Linked DNA regions of Neodiprion lecontei. The protein of the gene in region 2 interacts with the protein of the main gene of each other region in a pairwise test. Links are inferred from orthologs where the notes say so. Each region holds a gene or a part of one and is shown on either strand. Other genes may lie near its edges.

Region 1 (9,537 bases), about 5.2 Mb from region 2:
ATCGGCGAATCATGGCTACACGTGTAACCATGAACCATGGCATGAACGCCTGAAACTCTTTTGTGCCTGCTGCTGCATGTATGCGACAAAAGTTCTGCTCGTGCATTGCGAGGGGGATACAGGTTGGACGGTCTAAAATTACACCTCGTTTTAGGAGTTTTTTTTTTTTAAAGAAAATGAAAACGCGTAGAGGAACTGTAGTCAGAGGTCTTTATTATTTATAGTTTCAAGAACGTTTCAGAATTTTTTCATTGAAATTAATAACAAAATGGCGGCATGGCGCGTATAAGTAGCGAACGACTCCGAACTCGAGGACTTTTACGGTGGAGCATCTCCTGACATCACTGTCCAACTTGTATTGGCATGTAGAGAAAAATTTACAATTCAAAACACCTTTTCGGGTTTGAGCTCGTATCCCAAATGATAATAAAAAAAAATAAAAATATTTCAAATATATACGATGATAGAGAAAAAATTTCATCTTCCGACCAAAATATTGTTATAACAAATTTCATAAAAAAATTTTGGCATGACGTTGAAATTCGATAGACAAGTTTTAAATATTGTGTGAAAATTTCAAATCGATCGGATAAAATTGAGCGAGGAATTTGCGTCACCCACTTAAAAACGTGGTCGTTCGCTATTTATATGCGTCACGTCGCTATTTTATTAGCAATTTCAATGAAAAAATTCTCAAACGTTTTTGACACTATAAATAATAAAGCCCTCAAACTCAAATTGCTTTAAATGTCTTCATTTCCTCTAAAAAAAATCCTAAAAATAGGTATGATTTTAGATCCAAGCAGTAACCCCCCCCCCCCCCCCCCGAAGCTAACGAATCGTTAACTGCAAGTCCAAATGTCAAATATTTTAGAACGACGATGTTAAACCGAATTATTGAAGAGCAAGAATCACAATTCTATTTTCGATAAGAGTGAATTCGAATCGACTCGTTTTTCATTCGAAACGAATCATTCTAGCTAACCTGAAAGCTATAAAAATATGGAGTGATCCGTGTTTTAGTTAGTTAATTAAACTGCGCTCACCCTTCGACCGTCGTCAGCTTGTAGACGGTATCGAACATATTTTTCCTAGCAAAGCCGAATACCTGACGTCCTTCCGTTTTGCTATCGCCGACGTTGAATTCGTGAAAGTGAAGAGTTCGGGCGTTGGAAAAATCCGGCTGCTCAGGCGACGCCGTAATGTTCATAGTTTTCTATTACACTCTACGATTCGGTCGTTGATTATTCTAACGGATCAATGGAACGAGCCGATGTAGGCGCTAGAGAGGTAAGTCCGTCGTTTAATTTACGTCTGGTTCTCACTCAGAATCCACGATGAAATCCGACGTTACGACAGTTCTGTTGTTTACATATCGATGTCGAGAAGATAACGTTTCGCGTTTACCTTCATGAGGATGAATAAGACGCTGTATTTTATCGATGGATTCGTAAGAGAAATGATGAAGGGTTTTGACGACTGCGTTTTTGGTACACCAAGTTTTTCACTCATGCCAACTGTTGAACAAAATTTTATCTACAGCTTCGATTCTCAATATTCACTAGTAGTGGAATACTAAATACGGATTTCGGAGTCTTGTAACAGCGATTGACTTTGACAGTTTGTCAATCTGCGATCTGTCAAGTGCGAGTAAACAAGTTTTAATATTGCTCGGCTTCAGGCTTGCAAGGAGTTACCCTGGATGTTTACCGTTTGATTCAATCCAATTTGGAGCCTGTATTTTATGACACGAAGAATTCGATGCGTATAACAGTGTAAAGAAGAGAAGAGTCGTCAAGTCGTAAAGGTAGTGAATCCGAAGTGTAACATAGGTCTGAAACCAAAAAACTGCACAGATTCTTTATTCATTTCTTATTGATTTTCACTCACTGAAACCGGGAAAAATACTCAAAAGGTTCCATCACGTCAGGTTTTTTCTCCAACTCGTGTTTGTAGTTTCATTCGGAGTGAATATTCCGTTCAACTCGAAATCTGGTATCCTGTTCTTGATTCCAAAAATCTTATGCAAAAGTGATTTCTTACTTTCATTTAATATGTATCAGAGTGAGACTCAAGAATAAATACAAGCAGGGAAATAGAAAATGGAAAGCGGAAGCTCGTTCGGAGGTGTATCAAAGAGAAGAAGAAATGGTTTCGTAAGCAAAATGTATGAACACGGAATGTTGAGTACATTTGATAAAAAAATTGTTTGTTTAATTTCATGAGAAATATTCTTTAGTTCATTGCAATGAAATGGCGGTTTTTTCGTTATTGTTATGCTTTCTTTACGCGAACATCTTTTATTTTGCAAGCAAAAATATTGTACGCGTTGGAGGGAAATGGAAGTCATTTTTGGTTTCGGCACACTTGAAAACGCAATATTTATTAAAAACATGCCATGCAGCTGGAATAAGATATTTTTTTGGAGATTCGTGTGATTCACGCACCTGAGGTGGATGTGGCGAATCGGTCGGATTTGAAGATTATTTAACCGCATCATTTTTCTGCTCCTTTTGATCACCCTATAAATGAAGTCTTAATTCTCGACATTGTCACTCGTGCTACCGAATTCTTTCCCTGCAGATACGTTATCTGACATTCGAGGCAAGCACAAAGGCAACTACAATTATAAAATATACAACCTCGAATTTCGAGGCACGTACGGCATACTTGTAGGACGTCTAATCGTAAGAATATGTATGTCCACGACACGATGTACGAATGCTGCATCCGCAAAACCTGGATCACGTTATAATCGACTCTTTGTTTTTTTCACATGAGATGAATATCGAGTAAAGATTATAACCGAACTAAAAGAAGTTTTTGCTAGACACATGGCGAATTTTGATGGATAAATGCAGTTTTCAGACACGCAGTTACGACTCTAAATCTTGGTTAAAATATCCTTTGTATCATTTTATTTGACGTGAAATGTTGCTGGATGATGGTGGTTGCGTATTCGCAACTGTTTTATTGCAAAACTGAAATCGCCGGCATGTTTATTTCATTTCGGCAATAAAATTTTCTGGCTGTTGTAAAATTTTTTACGAATAATTATTGCATAACTGTACATCCCACTATTCAGCCGTTCTACGATATTTTACATCAAACTTTTAAATCCAACCGACAATTTTCGCACCACAAGATTAGAAACTACTATGCCGCTTTCGAAAATTCCTCTGAAATAATTCTGCACTAGAATGTTTGCATTGTACAATCGTACAATGTGAGTATATTAGACAGCAATTTATTGAGTTCGTGCGAGCTTGATTCGAGTTTCACGAACAAATTGGAATATGGTAATTGGCTTAGCATGCTGGAATTAATTATTCAGTTGCCGAATCATTTTATCGAATATTCTGTCGACACACAGCGTGACCTCAGGCCATTCTACATTTTATGTAGTATTTATAGGCCGTACAACCGTTGCATAGACTTTACGCGTTTCATGGATAAATATATATTATAAGGAATACATTGCGTCCCATGGAATTTAAGAAAGAAAATCTTTCGCTGAACTGGAACCAAAATTTGCCAAAATATTACCGATGCGAGCTATGAGGTATACTATACACCGTAAATTCTTGTGGTAAGCATAATTTTATATCCGTTCATCTCAGATATTCATTATGCTAAAAAATACTCGTTTGCATGTATAATATGTCCGACTATTATACATGAACATCGACCTACGCAGAATAATAATTTCGATGCATTTTGGTCAAGGCTTCGCCTGCCTTTGTTCCAGTTTCATTATCAAGGCGCGAAACCAAATCGCTGTATAAGATTCTTTATTCGTGGAAAAATTGTTGATTTCGGAAAAGTTATGAAATTTCATTAATAATTTTTTTCTTCCTTCATAGATATACTGGTAATTTCATAGACACCATTGTTGTCAGACACTTGCCAAGAAGTTTTGTTGAGGGTATGTGAATAATTGGAGTCCCATAATGTGAATATTCCGAATACTTAAATCTTTCAAACAATTCGAATCTTCGCACCATTCGAATGTAATTCAAATTATGCGATATTCAAATATTCGATTCAATTCGACTGTTGAATTCCATCGGTACGGTAGAATCTGCCTGACGAATTCGTTGCTAACTTCGTCGATAATCTGATGGACGAAGTAACGTTTTGACAGGCAAAAAACACGCTTTTCGTTAAGTGCTGCTATCTGTGAGAAGATCAGTCAACTCCTTCCAACGCTTATCGACGGTCACGCAATTGTGCATTGTGTGTAAACAGCGTTACCCGTGCAAAGTAGTTCGTTGTTATTTCTCAAAAAAACATAAGAAATGGCTAATACAAATGTAACGGATATGACTGAAGAGGATGCGGCAGACCTCCAGTTTCCAAAAGGTGAGAAAATTGTAAAATTTTCTTTGAAATTAGCGGCTACTTTTATAATTTCGCGAACAATTTCACGTCGCAGACATAACCTAAAACGATGGGGCTTGAAAGCATTGAATGGTATATGGAAAAAAAATACCGTTTTAAGCAACTAATTCAGTCATCCTTGAACAAAGGTCTCGAGTAACGGTTTTCTTACTTTCAGACTGTCCGTCGAGTTTTGCAAATGAGTCGGAACACGACGTCGATCTCGAGGTATCAGTCGTGAAGGAAGAAATCCTTACTTCTGACCCCGCGTGTTGTGTGTGTAAATCGACACTGTACGAGCCATACATAAAGTGCGCCGAGTGTTTGAACATAGAGATATGTCCCAACTGTTTTTCAAACGGTGCCGAAATTGAGGAACATAAAAATAACCACAATTACATTATAATAAAAAACGAATTCCCACTTATACCCGGTTCCAATTGGTCCGCCAAAGAGGAACTCGAACTTTTGGATGTCTTGCAAGAGTGTGGATTCGGCAATTGGGACGATATATCGAGGAGATTGCAGAACAAGTCGCCGGATGAGTGCAGGAAGCATTACCTGCACAATTTCATAGACAATCAAAATTTGCCTGGATTACCGAAGATAAAAGAAACCGAGGTCAGCTTGTTTGGCTCCGAGGCTGTACCGTACCTTTACAAACTTCAAGATCTTGAAGACCCGCCAAGATTTGCCAGCAATACGATAAACTACAAATTATTGGCCGGATACAATGCAGCTAGATCAGATTTCGAAGTAAATTTTGACAATTATGCTGAATTGTTAGTCTCAGATTTAAAATATGAAGAATTCTGTCCTGCCGACAAGCATTTGGAGCTTGGAAAAAACCTCCAAGTTGCAATAGTAAATGCCTACAATCACAGACTCAAAGAAAGGCAAAGGCGTAGAAAAATTGTACGTAATCATGGGCTTATTTCGTTTCGTAGAACCATATCATGGCTTCAAAGGTACGAATCGACTCTTACCAGACCTTTGATCGAAAGATTACTAACATTCATGCAACTTGTCAGTGGGATGGATTTTGATTACATAATCGAGGGTCTTCACCACGCTGGTGAACTAAGAAATTACATTAGAAGATTATTTGAATTTCGCCGAAATGGTATCACAAGGTTTCACTCAGTACCGATGTTTCAAAAGTTGGCCAAGCTGCGCATGGAACATGAAAAAGAGAGAAAGCAGTATATGAGTAATACAGAATATTGCTGGCAGACTGTATTACCTGGCTGCATTGTAAAGACTACACCTCATGTTGCACCAAATGTTCCCCAACGTAAAGCACCGCCGCCTCTTATTATTCAAGGGCTTCCTGGATACGACCGCCTTACTCCGGCTGAACGGGATCTTTGCTCAAATGCTCGTGTTATACCTGAAAGCTACTTTGACTTCAAAAACCTGTTGATAACAGAGAATAAAAAATGTGGGAGCTTGAGGCTTGCTCAAGCCAGAGTTCTTCTGAAGATTGATGTTAACAAGACGCGAAAAATATATGATTTCTTGGCAGAAGAAGGATACATCAATAAACCTGCTCAGTAAGACACGTCACTGGTCAATTGATTCGTCGCAGTTATATGTGAATATTTTTCGACATTTCAATGTCATTGTGATATTAACACTTTGTGACAGCCCATTTGACAAGTGAATTAATTTTTATGATTATGTGTTGGTTAAAATAGGCTAAGACTTCATTATTTATTACAATGTACAAACTCAAGTCTAAGTCCTTTGTTAGCTTGTTCTTTTATATACGAATAGAAATGTTACTATTTTTGTGAATTTATGCCAATTTTACTCTCAATGAACCCTCCAGTATTCCTATTCTGTTATTTTTAACATGACCGACAAAAAGGATTGAAATTTCACAAATTTCAATCATTTACCATCTATAGAGTTGGCATTAAAAATAAAAAGTCCATTCTACTAATTCAGACGAACAACCCATGCCAAACTAAAATTCAAAAACAAACCAATAACTGATGAATTTGTTTATCCACGTCTTCTTACATTCTGAAAGGTTTGAAGACGAATGGAACGTTCATACAATAACATTTATTCGTCCTTATTCCTCGCGTCATTATTTAATTCTATTTCAACCTACTGTGAAAAACTTTTTACGTGCTGGCAGAAGAAAAATACACGCAAGAAACGAATTTTGAAGAAATACTTGATCGCGTTTTTCACAGAATGAGCTTGCAATTAGAGAAACCTCTCTGCATTTGTTTCCAGGAGGAACTCGAAATAATTTTTTTTTTCGTACATCTATTACAATACTATAACTCGTTATTTGACAGAGTTTGAAAATGCTGAGACGCTGTTGATATCTGAGGTTTACATGCTGCTGGAACACAGGAAGGCACAGAACGAATCCGCAGAAGAGGAACAAGAGTTCTCCGAGGTTTTCATGAAGAGTTTGACGTACACTAATCGATTTCGCAAGTTCAGGAATAAGGAGACTATCGCTGCGGTTCGAAAGTATGTGCAGCAGATTGAGCTCATTGCAGTAGTAGAAGAGATTCATTTCGTTTCACATTCTGTGCAATTTGGTTTACTAATACGCGTTTAATTGTTTTTACAGTTTACTGATGCAGAAGAAGCTCCATAAATTTGAACTGGCTTCATTGGCGAATCTTTGCCCTGAAACACCTGAGGAGGCCAAAGCATTGATACCAAGTCTCGAAGGACGTTTGGAAGATGACGAAATGAGAACTATTCTGGAAGACATTCAGACCAAAAGATCACTACAGTACTAACTATGCAGTTTGCTTACAAATCCGACGGACATTTTACGTCGCACCCAATTAATTATATTCCACTTACCAGGCCATCTCAAATCGCGGCATACGTTCTCTGAGATCATCGATTGATTGTATATTGATTGTTGAACAAATGCTAGATGCAACTTTCATTCCTATAATGTACTCTGTTTATAAATATTGAAAACACGCATAACTTCCATCTCGTTTTTAACCCAGCCCAAAGTCGTTCCTTGGCACGATAACATGGATGTCAAAATAATTGACAGTATCCCTACTCTGAGGGTACTTTGAGAACGTATCATTGCGGTGGTTATTGAACACAACATCGCGAAACTACTAACTCCGAATAGTAGACGTAGTTCTGCTTCGGACGAAAGTAACGTCCTATAATTCTGCATACCCGAAACATCTTTTTTTCGTTATCTTTTACGGAGTAAACAGCTCTTGGGCTCTGGAAGGAAAGATGTAAGTTGGCGTGATGTAACGGCAGATAATATCATTACGGACTTCTCCGTTGTTGGAAAAATCATGCGTTACATCTCGTGTAAAGTTATTAAGCCTCTTCAGCTCTTATTCTGCATAACTGTAAATTCTTGTACATGCGACAGAGACGACCATCTCTATCGTATCATGGACATGGATGAAGGTTGTGCTGTCATTAGTTTCTGCGAAATGTCGTGTATGGATTTTTATTCTCTGTGAAGGGAACCACAACGCTATGGCGTCCGATACCCTCAATAATTACCCTTAACGGCCCAACGACGTCTACCCAGCCTGTTGTACACTGACCCTCTCGACTACGCGTTGCCGTTTAAAAGTGGGGTCAGAATCCAACACGCACGTATGGTGTACGGTGTACTTCACCTCCGGCCTGATTATCTACCGGCCCAGCACCGGTTTTCACCTGGCAGCCGGCAAGGCAGTCTGCATTCCGAGCATGGTTTTGCAAAATAATTTGCGATTAAGATCAATGATGATAGCTTGGTCGCTTGGTTACCGTTCGAAGGCGACGAAGATTCTTCACGACGTGCTCTAATGGGTGCCTCTTCGCGTCACTTATCAAGTTCGCCTCTCAATACAAATTCACAATGCGAATACCTGCACTTGTGAATGAACTATCAATTTCCTAGAAATAACGTTTTAATTGTTCAAGTTTTGTCACCTTTTGATCATATGATTATCGTGTGGGGCAGGAGTCGCAGTCCATCAGTTTTTTTTTTGCGGGTTGTAATGCGAATGACATCATTATTTCTTACCCGTATTTGGGGTTTTAGAGTTCTGTGGTTAGTTTTACAAGGGAGATTTCGTTGCAACCAATCAAGTTATCATCAGTCACACTTGGTTAAATAGTACCCTGCTCGATGTCTATTATTTTCTTTCTTTCTTCCCGAAACCGGGTATTTGGATACTAAACCTCCAACAGCAAATTTAACCACATGGGGGGTAAAGGAAGTTCTGCAGTGGTTTGAACGTGACAACCGTTGAGCATGTCAATATCAATGGACTCAATAATCAATTCGTAGCCTTCGTTAGATTCGTGGTCAGTGTTACTACGGGCACTTCTCCAGTGGATATGAGACGTGCGTTCAGCAGTATTTGGAGGGCCTTGGCCGCCGCACGATGTGCGGGCAATAACGACAGAAACGATGTCTGATTATGGCACTGGATAATCTCTGTCCATGAGGAGATTTTGTAACACATTTTCACGTGATAATTATTCAGTTTTGATGAAGTCGGTACTTCACGGCATTATTACTTTATCATTTTATTGGGCCATAAACCCATATGATTTACGACTTCTCGTGGCTGCCTCGCTTACGAAACGCAGTTTCGCATCGTATTAAATAGTGGCACTCGACTTGTCAGTACTGAACTGTTGTTACCGTAAAATAGCAACCAGTGGACAATGGCAGTCAAAAGTACTTTGCCATTCATTGTAATTATACGTAACACATACTGCACGATGATTATAGATTGCTTCGCTTCATAATCATGGTAACAATGAAGCGATTTGATCCCCCCCCCCCCCCCCTCTCTCTCTCTCTCTTCCCTCTTGGCGGGACCGACTTAATTTTCATTGTTTTTCGTGACAGCTCACATTTTCGTTTTTTTTTTCATATTTCCCTCAATTCTACTCTACCTGTTATCTCTATCTTTAATTTTATTTTATCTCATTCCTTGTCCAATTTTATTTTATCTCATTCCTTGTTTTAAGGGCGGTGGGTACATTAGAGAACGAAAAAAAACGCGGATCTTTTTTTCTGTGATTCTATTGCATTTGTACTATCACTTTTTTTATATGAATGTACACATATTCAAGTAGGTATATATGCTAATTTTTTTATCAGAAAATATTCAAAATGGCGCGCGTGGCAGCTGG
Region 2 (11,228 bases):
CAATTATTACAGTATCATTTTTTTTTTTTTTTAACTTTAACACATGTATAAAAGATACAAATGAAACTATATAGTATTAGCATACTATACACGTGAGAAAATAATGTAATGATTAGTGGTTAGAAATGGTCGTAACTAATTAAAATACAAAATTTAATATTTATCGCACCCTTTAAATTCTTTTAAGACGTAATGTTTATAATAATTTCTCATGATGAAACTCAATTCCCAGTTACTGCAAACAACGACAGTCATCCAAATCATAAACCAGTATCATGAAATCAACATTACAGAGGATTTTTTAACAATAATTCCATATTCTTACACGTGATAAGATTGGATGATACAAGTTCTAATAACGTTGGTTGTTTTTGTTGTCTTCAATAATTAAAATATTTCAAAGTGGTACATCATGAGGAGGGATTGCAACTGTTACCTCTGGCAATGTCAGTCGAAGACGACAAAACTGAAATATTCATGTTCAAATTTTATCTTGTAAGTCTTACCTCTCATATTCTTTTAAAGCACTTTTTTCCCAAGTAATAAGATTTGCAATTTTTATTGTTAAAAATCGAAATGCTGGGCTCAAACTAAGTTTAAATGACTCAAACTGTGTTAATGTAACTGATTATAATTTTCACACTGGATTAACAGGACAATTGGACAATGGACCATTGAACTACCAAAAATCATAACTTATATGACTATAACAATGATCAAGACGTGTATTCAAAACATACAAAAACTGGAATCAGTATTTCGACTATATAATTATTTAATATTCTCAAATAAATCGGTCATTACTGTTCTACAGAAAACATGACCTGACTAAAGGGAGGGGGTTAAATTCGTAGCATACAACTTGACATCTAAAAAAATCTATACAGATTATCTGGTGTGGTTAATTATGTTAGTATGATAATGTACTAATCAGAAAACAAGTTTTAATTTAGTTTCAATATAAAATACAATCTATACGTTATGTAAATAGAGTAAACTATGATGAAAGAGTAAAGCCATACATAAAAAAAAATTATTCGGGTCTTGTGCATAAATTTATAAAATTTTTATTTTTTTTATCATATTGTTTATTGGTTCAAATTTTCATATGCTGTATAAAATCGAAATCAATGAATATAATAACCTGAGGTGTTGACGTGTAACAATATATGGTGTGTAAATTTCAGTAATAAAAAATATTGCAGCAAATTTTTGATTCCCTGTAGTAGATTAAACTTTACTGATGTTATAAATCAAACTGTCGATTAACATAAAAATTGCGAAAACTAATCCTTGTTAAGGTAATCAAGGTTTTCTTACGTTAATGAAGAAAATATTTCCTCTTCACAAGTAAAAAGTGATATTAACAATGTGCAACAGGATAAACAATTGAATTTTTCATACAAGAATGTCATTCGCTGCTGCATTCGAAATTGGGTTTTCTTACATAATATACATTTTTATTAGGTACACATTGCTAACTTCACTGTACAATTGATAACGAAACAAGAAGAATTGAGCCTTAAAAACATTTTCGATGTACAATAGATGCACCTGATTCATCATATTCCTGTTTAGATATCCACATTTGTTGGAAGGTACTCAAGCTTGCAAGAATAGATCCTCCGATCCATACCGAATACTTTCTTTCTGGTGGTGCAATTATCTTTATTTTCATAGTCGACGGAGCCAGAGCAGTGATCTCCTTCTGCATTCTGTCCGCGATTCCAGGATACATTGTTGTGCCACCAGACAGTACAGAATTGGCATAGAGATCTTTACGAATATCAACGTCACATTTCATAATGGAATTATACGTAGTTTCATGAATACCACATGCCTCCATCCCTAAGAAACTTGGTTGGAACATTGCTTCCGGGCAACGGAAACGTTCGTTACCGATTGTTATGACCTGGAAAATAGAGTTCCAAAACAGTGTTCTATTTCAGCAGTTTCTATACTGGCGTTATCTTACCTGTCCGTCGGGCAGTTCGTAACTTTTTTCTAAAGCACTGGACCCAGCAGCTGTTGCCATTTCCTGCTGAAAGTCTAGAGCTATGTAGCAAAGTTTCTCCTTAATATCCCTCACGATTTCCCTCTCAGCAGTTGTTGTAAAGGAATATCCTCTTTCGGTCAAAATTTTCATCAGATAATCGGTTAGATCGCGCCCAGCCAAGTCCAAACGTAAAATTGCATGTGGCAGAGCATATCCTGTATTACAACGCAAGTTATTCATTGCAACATTTATATCGACACAAACTAATATTAAGATGTAAGAACTAGCATTACTCGTGATCGACATTATAACTCTAAGCCAATGGCGCTACACCAACTATTATTGCTCTTGATACTACCTTCCTTTTATAATGGCAACGATCACATTGGATTACATCTTATAATAGAATCTAAACGTTATAGAAGATAATTTTAAATTACTGTACATGCTGATTTAGAAAGTTAAGAATTACAATGACATTGAAAAAAATGTTGAAATTGTAATTTGGTTTATGTAACTATGACTAAACACTTCTTCTTACCCTCGTAAATAGGGACCGTATGCGATACACCATCTCCGCTATCCAACACTATGCCTGTGGTCCTTCCTGACGCGTACAGAGATAGGACAGCTTGGATAGCGACGTACATGGCTGGTGAGTTGAAAGTTTCGAACATGATCTGTGTCATTTTTTCGCGATTTGTTTTCGGATTTAATGGGGCTTCTGTGAGAAGTACAGGATGTTCTTCCGGGGCGATTCTGAGTTCGTTGTAGAATGTATGATGCCAAATTTTTTCCATATCATCCCAATTTGTAACAATACCATGTTCGATAGGATATCTTACTGTGAGTACCCCTCTCTTACTTTGAGCCTCATCTCCGACGTAACTATCTTTTTGTCCCATACCGACCATTATACCCTGGAAATATTGTAATAGTTGTTCATGAATAGACAAAAATGTGCAACATTACAGTCGAATCATTTGATATGATGTAGACTATTTGAATTTGAATACTACTGTGAAGTATTGGCAGACCAATGTTACCTGGTATCGGGGTTTTCCAACGATCGATGGAAAAACAGCCCTTGGAGCATCATCTCCGGCGAATCCTGCTTTGCACATGCCTGATCCATTGTCGACAACAAGTGCAGCCACATCGTCGTCACACATTTTAAAACACTAGAATATATAGATAACGTTTTAGTGAGACTCTGGGAATGTCAGTTAAAAAGTCAAAAAACATACTTCTCAACTTACATCGCGTTTGTTTGGGACTAATGAAACCAACTGACTAGACAGTACACGATCCTTGTGGTATGTTAGTCTCTCGTAGAGTGCGGAATTGCAGTTGAGAAAGGAGTTTTATACGATCTCCCTTCTCCTGCTCAAATGCTGTTGCTGTAATCAGGTCTCATCCTGTCTCTTGATTCTTGTATGCTCCAAATATCAGGATCATCATTTTCAGCATACTTATGTGACGAACAATTATTTTCCATAAGCGCGAATTAAATTGTGTAAAAAGATTCATTTCTGTTTTGTTCACTGCAACTGGTGTACAATTGTATGATTGTTATTTGAAAAATTGCTTAGTAGTCAAAAGCTGTAAGTTAAGTTGCAGTTGATTGATGAATTATTTGAAAAAATGAATTATCGTTGCTGAAGCTGCTGTACAACTAGAAAATAATTATAAACACTATTAAATTTGACTGTCTTACTACCATATTTTCGTAATGATGCAATAGTAGATGTGACACAAAATTGATAGGGATCCCAACGACTATCTTTAAAAAAGTACAAAATAGTATATGCACCAATTAGTTAATTGCACTTTACCATATCGCACTGATTGAACGCACAGTGCCTGAAGCAACCAGAGCATGCAGAATATTTTCTTTCCCTGCTTCACCTACTGGGTGTAAAGAGAAATTTATCGGATTCACTTCACATATTTGAGATAAAGCGTTTCAATGTAACAAAGTTATTGCTATTATTTTTCATCCATTTATCATTATCTTCTACAAATTGATCATATCAATCTGTACTAAACTGAAAAAAATTCTTTATTCTGTTTTCATTCACTGTTTACAGATATTGCACCACATGTAGAAGATGGGCAAGCTGATTGATGACTATTCGCGATAATGACCTTGAATCTGGTAGACTTATTGCTATTGTCAGCTTATGAAGGAGGTGAAATTTCAAAGAGAACAATTGGTGTCAGTTTCAATACTGAGTTACTAAATACGATTACGTTTCATAAATTCTGGTATGTAAAGTTCTTTCTGATTTCAAGTTCATGATAACATCTGACGCCCTCCAACCATCTCGTTAACTGTTCTACCTGCTATAATTGTATCAGAAGTCATATCAGTACTAATTTAGTGACTAACGTCATTTGACAATGCTGATAATTGCTATTTCTGTGACATATGTGCTTGTTAAAATATGGTAAGTATGTAGATAGAACTCAGTTTCATCGGTTGCGTGGCAGAGTTTCCCATTGCTGTGAAACAATGATAACAGCATGAGCTTTGTTGATAAAACACGATACTATTGTCTCGAAAAATCACTATTGTTATAAAAGTATAAAATTAAGTTGGGTATTCCCCGGTGCCAGGAAGATACATCTGCATTATATATCTTCTTCAAACATCCGGTTCGATTTATGTTATAGATACGCGAAAACCTGCATATTTGCACAAAGTGATCTGACAATTTTTCTGCATAAACTTTTTAAAACTCCAAAACTAGTTTTCAGTTTTTTGTAGAAAGTTATAAAATTTTTTTTCGAATACTGGAAAAAAAAAATATCCAAGACTTGTAACATCTGTTCAGAATCTGTTTCAGAAACGCAAAAAATGCAAGAGTATTATAAATCTTCCTACCAGAAAGAGATAAGAAACTTTCTCAAAGTAATTGGAACCCATTGCTGACCACAATAGAATAATTTGACTTTCTTTTTATATCTATTACTCGAATACAAATTTGCGATAATAATAAAAGAAATTCGTTTATTTCGTCTAAATAATGAATGAATCACGAGCAGTAGGAAAGTTTTATTCAAGCAACATATCATGACTGCTATCGTGAACTTGAGAAAAGCAGTGTTCCAGAGACTGACCATGAAGAGAGGCATTATTATAATCACTGCATTACATTAATTAATTACCTATTTGGCTAGTTACATTAATTAGACCATGAAGCAATGTAGTTGAACTCCAATGCAATGGTTGAAAATACCGTGCCCAAGTAAATTCTTGAATGTTTTACTCAGTCAATTTTTTCGGCAATAGTATTCAAAACCTGAGTTGTACATCGATTCATACGAAAATTCCTGGGACTGATTATATGAATTTCTCTCTCCTGCCGTAAATGTGTCTTTTAAGGAATTTCCAAATTGTCATTTAATCGATAGAAATATATTTACAAAAGTCAGTTATCTTTATTTAAACATATATTGTATGTATACTACATATACATAAGTATGTATATCCATGGATTATTCACTTGCAGCACCTGACCAACATTGCTTAAATCGAAATTGAACTAATCAGTAGCTAATCTTAATTCAAATTATTCTCCAATTTATGATAATATATACAGACGGCAAATTGTGGAATCACATTTTCGTAGTTCTTTACTTTGTGAGGCCCCTAGCTCTAAGAACAACTCAGATTAAACATATGTTTTACATCCTTTTGAAACCCGAAATATTTACCTACACAAGTCATTGACAAATTAATTAACGCAGATTTTCGAAACCGTATTCATTTGAAAACGATTTTCTCCTAAGTATCATAGTACGCAATAGCATACATCGGGTAACTCATAGTTTAGCATAATAAATAATAAAAGTGTTTAGTGCATAAAGCACAACGCGTCATAAAATCAGTACTCAGCCATCAGTTAGGTGAATATCAATGAGTTTGCACTGCATAATTAATACGATGCTGTAGAATAAATGGGGAACAATCACTCTAAACTTGATGAAGTCATCATTATTTATCCCAAAGACCTATTTCCTTCATTCTTGTTTGAAAATATTTTTCCAACGCATTGGCACATCTATAATATTCCGTATCCGGGCTGTTGTACAATCGACAATTTGTAAATATTCGTGTCATATCAGCTATAAACAATCGCCGAGTTACATAATATCTGGCCTTAAGACGGTCGCTCATAGTTTTTAAGTCTGAAAATATGACAAAATCATTAATCATCATTATCTTTATTACAATAATCGATGCATATGTAACATATTTACCCATTGGATATTTGATGTGATCATAATAATCAGGGACATCATTTTTATCAACAGGCTTTAGGAACGGCCATGCAGTGCTATTATTTTTCACAGTATTCAAAACACTTTTTAAGGCGTTGTATAATGAATCTGTCACATCCAAACAAGCCTCCATTGGCTCTGGTCCCTGCGTTCCTTTCGCGACGCCTCTCGTTCTTGTTTGAGCATAACTTTTCCATCCAGTTTCCCGTATTCCTGGGATAGATTCTACAGGAATTCCTCGCACACCCTCTTTGAAGCAGGTCAGGCCAGGATGCACCTTTTGTATTTCTTGTTGCCTTTGATATATCAATTTTTTGATTATTTCTTTCTGTTTTCTTATAACTGCAGTGAATTCTGTGTACACAATTTTAGCGTTAAGTTCACAGTGCATCAGAGTAGCACCTTCGTAGTCTTTGATATACCCTTGGTACATGGGTCTAGACATTTTTATGTCCTTGCTAAAACCCTGCTTCTTGAAGTACCCGATCGCAAATTCATCAGCAAACGTTAAAAAGTGCAGTATATTGTTTTTTATATGATAATCCTTGAGCATGTTCATCAAGTGTGTACCGTATCCTTTGACTTGCTCTTGACTTGTCACAGCGCAAAATACGATTTCCGTAAATCCTTGGGTTGCAAACATTCGGAAACAAATTCCACCAATAGGCCTACCATCTTTGATAAGCGCCAAAGTTTTATGTTTTCTGTTTAAAGATATTAAAAGAGAACCAGAAGTAAGAATGAAACTTGAAAGTTTTGTAAAAGAGATAAGAATTACTCACGGATCGAAGACTAGTTGAGATATATATTCTTTTGGCATTCTGGGTAATTGGTGACTGAAAACGTTGTGTAATCCTATCAACCAGAGCATAGTTTGCTTCGATACTGGTTGTGTCAGGCTGTTTCCAATGACATGGAACTCTATAATCTTTCGACTTTCCTCAATTTTTGCAGTTTCGTCTCTCGGCACATTTGGTGGGAAGACTGCGTCAGGTCCGCACATGTAGTTAGGATCATTTATCGTCGCTACAATTTCTGCTACAGTTTCTTCCGGCAAGTCTTCGAAAGCTTCTTCATTTTTACGTCTTTTCAAATCAGGCCTTCCCTCTGAGTGAGATCGTTTTTCAGGAAGTTTTTTTAGCCCTGGGCTTATATTTATTGTCGTATAATTGTCTTTGTCATTGTGCGCTACACTGATTTTCTCGAATTCACCAGGCCGTCGTGAGTGATTCCCCTTTGATTCTAAGGCAGCTTGTAAATGTGATGGCGGTACTTGTTTGAACTCTGGATCCCATATAGGAGAGCCATCAGAGTATATTTCTACTTCTAGCATAGATAAAAACCTGTGGATCAGAAAATGTGGCATGTAGTGATTTGGAATATACATTTGGAATTAGTACAATCGAAAGTTTCTGTCTGTTATAAATCTAAGATTTAAGGAAAAACGTTACACATACTTGGGAAAGTGCGTCAGGACTAGAACTCTCTTTTCAGGTGACATTCTGTCTCGTTCGCTATGACATTTGTCCATGAGTTGTCTGCAGACTGATTTGAATACAGCTTGAAGTAAAGTTCTTCCAAATACGAGTGTAGTATCGTAATGTGGTAAAGAATCGCAGAAAGCTGGTACATGACAAAAGACAAGCCAGCGTGTGTAGTTTATTTTATATGCGGGTGCTTCTTCGGCGTTACCAGCAGTTCTTCTAGCACTTGGAGTCTCGAAATTCCAATGATTTAAACAGTGCAAAAACATCTTGGCTAAATCGTACATCGCTTGCCATTCGCGTTGGGATAAATGGCCAAATTTGTAGAGCACAAAATTAGTTATAGCCTTGGCTATGCTAGGCCTCTCAAAAGGCGGCTGACCCAGAGGTCCCTCTATTGTCGGTTTAGTCATAGACAGGATACATTTTCGCAAAAGTTTAAATAAATAGTAATAGACTTTTTTTGTATCCGGATCCTCCTCCCTGTGCATTCCCATGAAAATGTTATCAACATCGATGACCATGCCGAGTAGTTTGTTAATTTCGTCATCGCTTTGGGATTGCAGATGTGTGATATGCTTTTCAAGCACATGGGTGCAGCTTCGACATGGATCGGAAAAGTTAGCAGCTGGTTGCTGCATGTCATTCTTTGGACACTTAGTCAATGGTTGAGCGTTCTTCCATCCGTTGCATTTGCACTCGTCGGCTTGGCATGAGCTGTAATTTGCCAGTTTCAATAGCTTTTTTAACTGGGGCCAATTAAAAACTTGATGTTTGCGTTGCTGAATCCTCTGCAAGTTGTTCTGGCGACTAGCTTGGTCCGTACCTCGTGGCGAACTTGACTCTGCGCTGTTACTGCTCACGAGGTTTTGAGATGTACTTGTCACGGACTGCACTCGATCCTCAGACGACATACCTGACATGGTTCTGGTAGTTTCATCCATTGAAATGATTTTCTAAAATTACTACACCTGAAAAATATCAAATTTATGACAATGTTTATGTTCAATAGCATGTTTCTTGATTTCCCAGATTTGTATAATGAATTATCAGTGGGAATTAAAATGTGTATTACTTTGGATTATATATTCAAATCAGAAATTATCGTATCTATGAATTAAAAATCAATTACTGATTTTTTACCAAGAAATAGCTGGTTATCGACTCTACTCATTGAAGGAAAATTGAATTTTGAACTTTGCGAGAAGGGTAAATTCAAGGTTACGCAGGCCGGGTAAATTGTTGACAAAACATTGAGACAAAGTACGTGATGTGAATTTGAAATTGAAGTCAATGCGACGCAAAATCGTTACGAAATAACCGAGATTTTCATTCGTGAGATACCCGATGAGTATAATTATCGTTGGCGCAATGTCCTTTTTGACAGTTTTAATTTTTCGCGCAAATATCGATGGCTGTGGGTTGTGCGTACAGCTGAGAAAAAAAATACTCTCAAGTAGGGATTATTTAATCATTTATCATCACCACGTCGAGGGTATTCCAAGTGCGGATAATTAAACATGTATGATAAATAGGTCTAAATTTACGACAAGAACAATAATGAATTGTAATATGTTTATTTACCAAAGCTTCCGTTCACATATTATTGTAACGCTGCGCCTCCATTTGTTACGTGATTTTAGTTCGTCCGAACGCCACGTTCTCAAGTGATTCGCACGGAGCGTTTGCCTACTTTTAATTTTGATTTAACGCTGGTAAGAAATAAGTAAAAATATTCCACCTTACTTTCCTTATCAATATTCGCAACGCTGCGCTAGTCGTCGGATTGAAATACCCCAAACACCCTTAACTAACCCGCGCACAAGTCGACGACGCATTTTATCAGGTATGTGCGTAAATTTACTCCGTTAAAAGATATTGGTTAAACTATGGAGTTTGGTTAGTTCGTTTGAGATCAGCTTATAACCAGATCATTGCACCATATTGCCCCACTCTTGAAGTTTGCAATCCTTCAACTCATTTCCAGAAAGTCGTTGGAGGCAAGCCACCCTCTGGTGGAGTCAGAAGCCGGGGAAGTCCCTTTGCCATTGCGGCATTGCCATGGCAAGCTGGGATGGGTCTTATTATGGGCCTGAGGACCCAAATTTTCATCGGTATTCGGACCAGGGGAACGTGGCGCGCAACTGGAGCTATTATCCTGAGAATGGCTCCAACGTGCAGCCGAGTATCTCGAACCTGGGTCAACAGCACTTAGCCAATGCCTATCAGGATCCGCAAATGGCTGGTGGTACTCAGTATGCAAGGCCACAGCCTTTCTTTGAGAACAATAGATCGCAGCTTAATCTTCCGCCATTCAAATGCAAAAGTGGGAACCCGAATGACAAACTTAAGAAAAAGAATTACCACGGTAAATTACCGTTTGTCCCTCAGCAAACGATTGATCCCAGTGTCGTTGAGAATTCAAACCTGCATGCAACCGCTGGTGAGTTTATACCTAGCTCCTTGAAGGCGCTGCAAACAGCTGGGACAAACTCGTCTGCCAGTAGTAGTGAAAATAATGGCAGAATTATGCTGGAAAATTATGATTCCTCAACTCAGCATTCGGGAAATTTGACCTTCCACGATTCGAACATGCCGAAAGTTGACCATGTGGATATTAGAAATAAGCGAGATAAGAAGGATAGGAAATATGATGCAAATAAAAAAGGCGATAGTTATAAGCAGAGGGATACTCAGGATGCTCAATATCAAAATACCAATTTGTTTAAGAATTCTGTCAGGAATCAGAATCCGAAGAATCGCAGATTCCAAAATGATAGGTATTCTAACACCAGACATTATTCGGATAATAGTTCTAATTATACGAGCGATAAGGATAGCGATAGAAGAAAATGGACAGGTAATTCCAGTGTTCGAGAAAATTTTGAAAACGGTTCATATCACGGTGAAGAAGACGCAACTCAATCTGTGGAGGGGACTGTTAATAAGCACTATAAAACCTCTAGACATGATAATACCCGACAATCTGGTGGTTCAGCCAAGTATTACGGCGATCAAAATTATTCTAGTCACAATTCTGAGATGAAGTACAGTCAAACGGGTGGTAAGAGTGTTAGAAGATATTTTAATGAAGATCGTGGAGAACGGTATCGTGATAAAAGAGACAGATACAGTGATAAGTATGAATCTGGGATCAGGGAGAAGAAAACTAGCTATGCAGATTACAATGGATACAAAAATAATTATGAAAGAGAGGAAAGAGGGGAACGGAGCAGAGACAAGGATAAATCTAAGGATAAGGATAATTCAAAAGGTATCAGGGATAAAGAGATTGAAAATTGGCGATACAAGAATGACGAAGATGTCAAAGGAGGAAGTAACATGAAGCGATTGAGTAACAAAAGATCGGAGAAAGGTAAGAGATCAATCACCCTTACTTTTGGGATGACATTTATTTTACAGTGTGTCATATCTGGAAATTACTTACACTCATTTTTTTC

The links.
Region 1: the proteins of histone acetyltransferase KAT2A (region 2) and transcriptional adapter 2-alpha interact in a two-hybrid assay, tested with the Drosophila melanogaster proteins (2 studies listed by BioGRID). The link is inferred for Neodiprion lecontei from reciprocal best matches to the Drosophila melanogaster genes Gcn5 and Ada2a.

Annotation. Positions count from the first base shown.
Region 1 is NC_060263.1:41,256,171-41,265,707, forward strand, and holds transcriptional adapter 2-alpha, read left to right. Parts: upstream 1-4,205; 5' UTR 4,206-4,298; coding exon 4,299-4,362; intron 4,363-4,558; coding exon 4,559-5,937; 3' UTR 5,938-6,671; downstream 6,672-9,537. UniProt on the Drosophila melanogaster protein: Component of the histone acetyltransferase (HAT) complex ATAC; predominantly involved in acetylation of histone H4, including at Lys-6 (H4K5ac) and Lys-13 (H4K12ac).
Region 2 is NC_060263.1:36,087,236-36,098,463, forward strand, and holds histone acetyltransferase KAT2A, read right to left. Parts: upstream 9,447-11,228; 5' UTR 9,352-9,446; intron 8,739-9,351; 5' UTR 8,712-8,738; coding exon 7,741-8,711; intron 7,627-7,740; coding exon 7,066-7,626; intron 6,988-7,065; coding exon 6,263-6,987; intron 6,191-6,262; coding exon 5,997-6,190; 3' UTR 5,129-5,996; downstream 1-5,128. Other genes in the region: actin-5C, read right to left, coding at 1,523-1,912, 1,976-2,211, 2,538-2,916, 3,043-3,168; protein shuttle craft, read left to right, coding at 4,428-4,446, 9,755-11,143.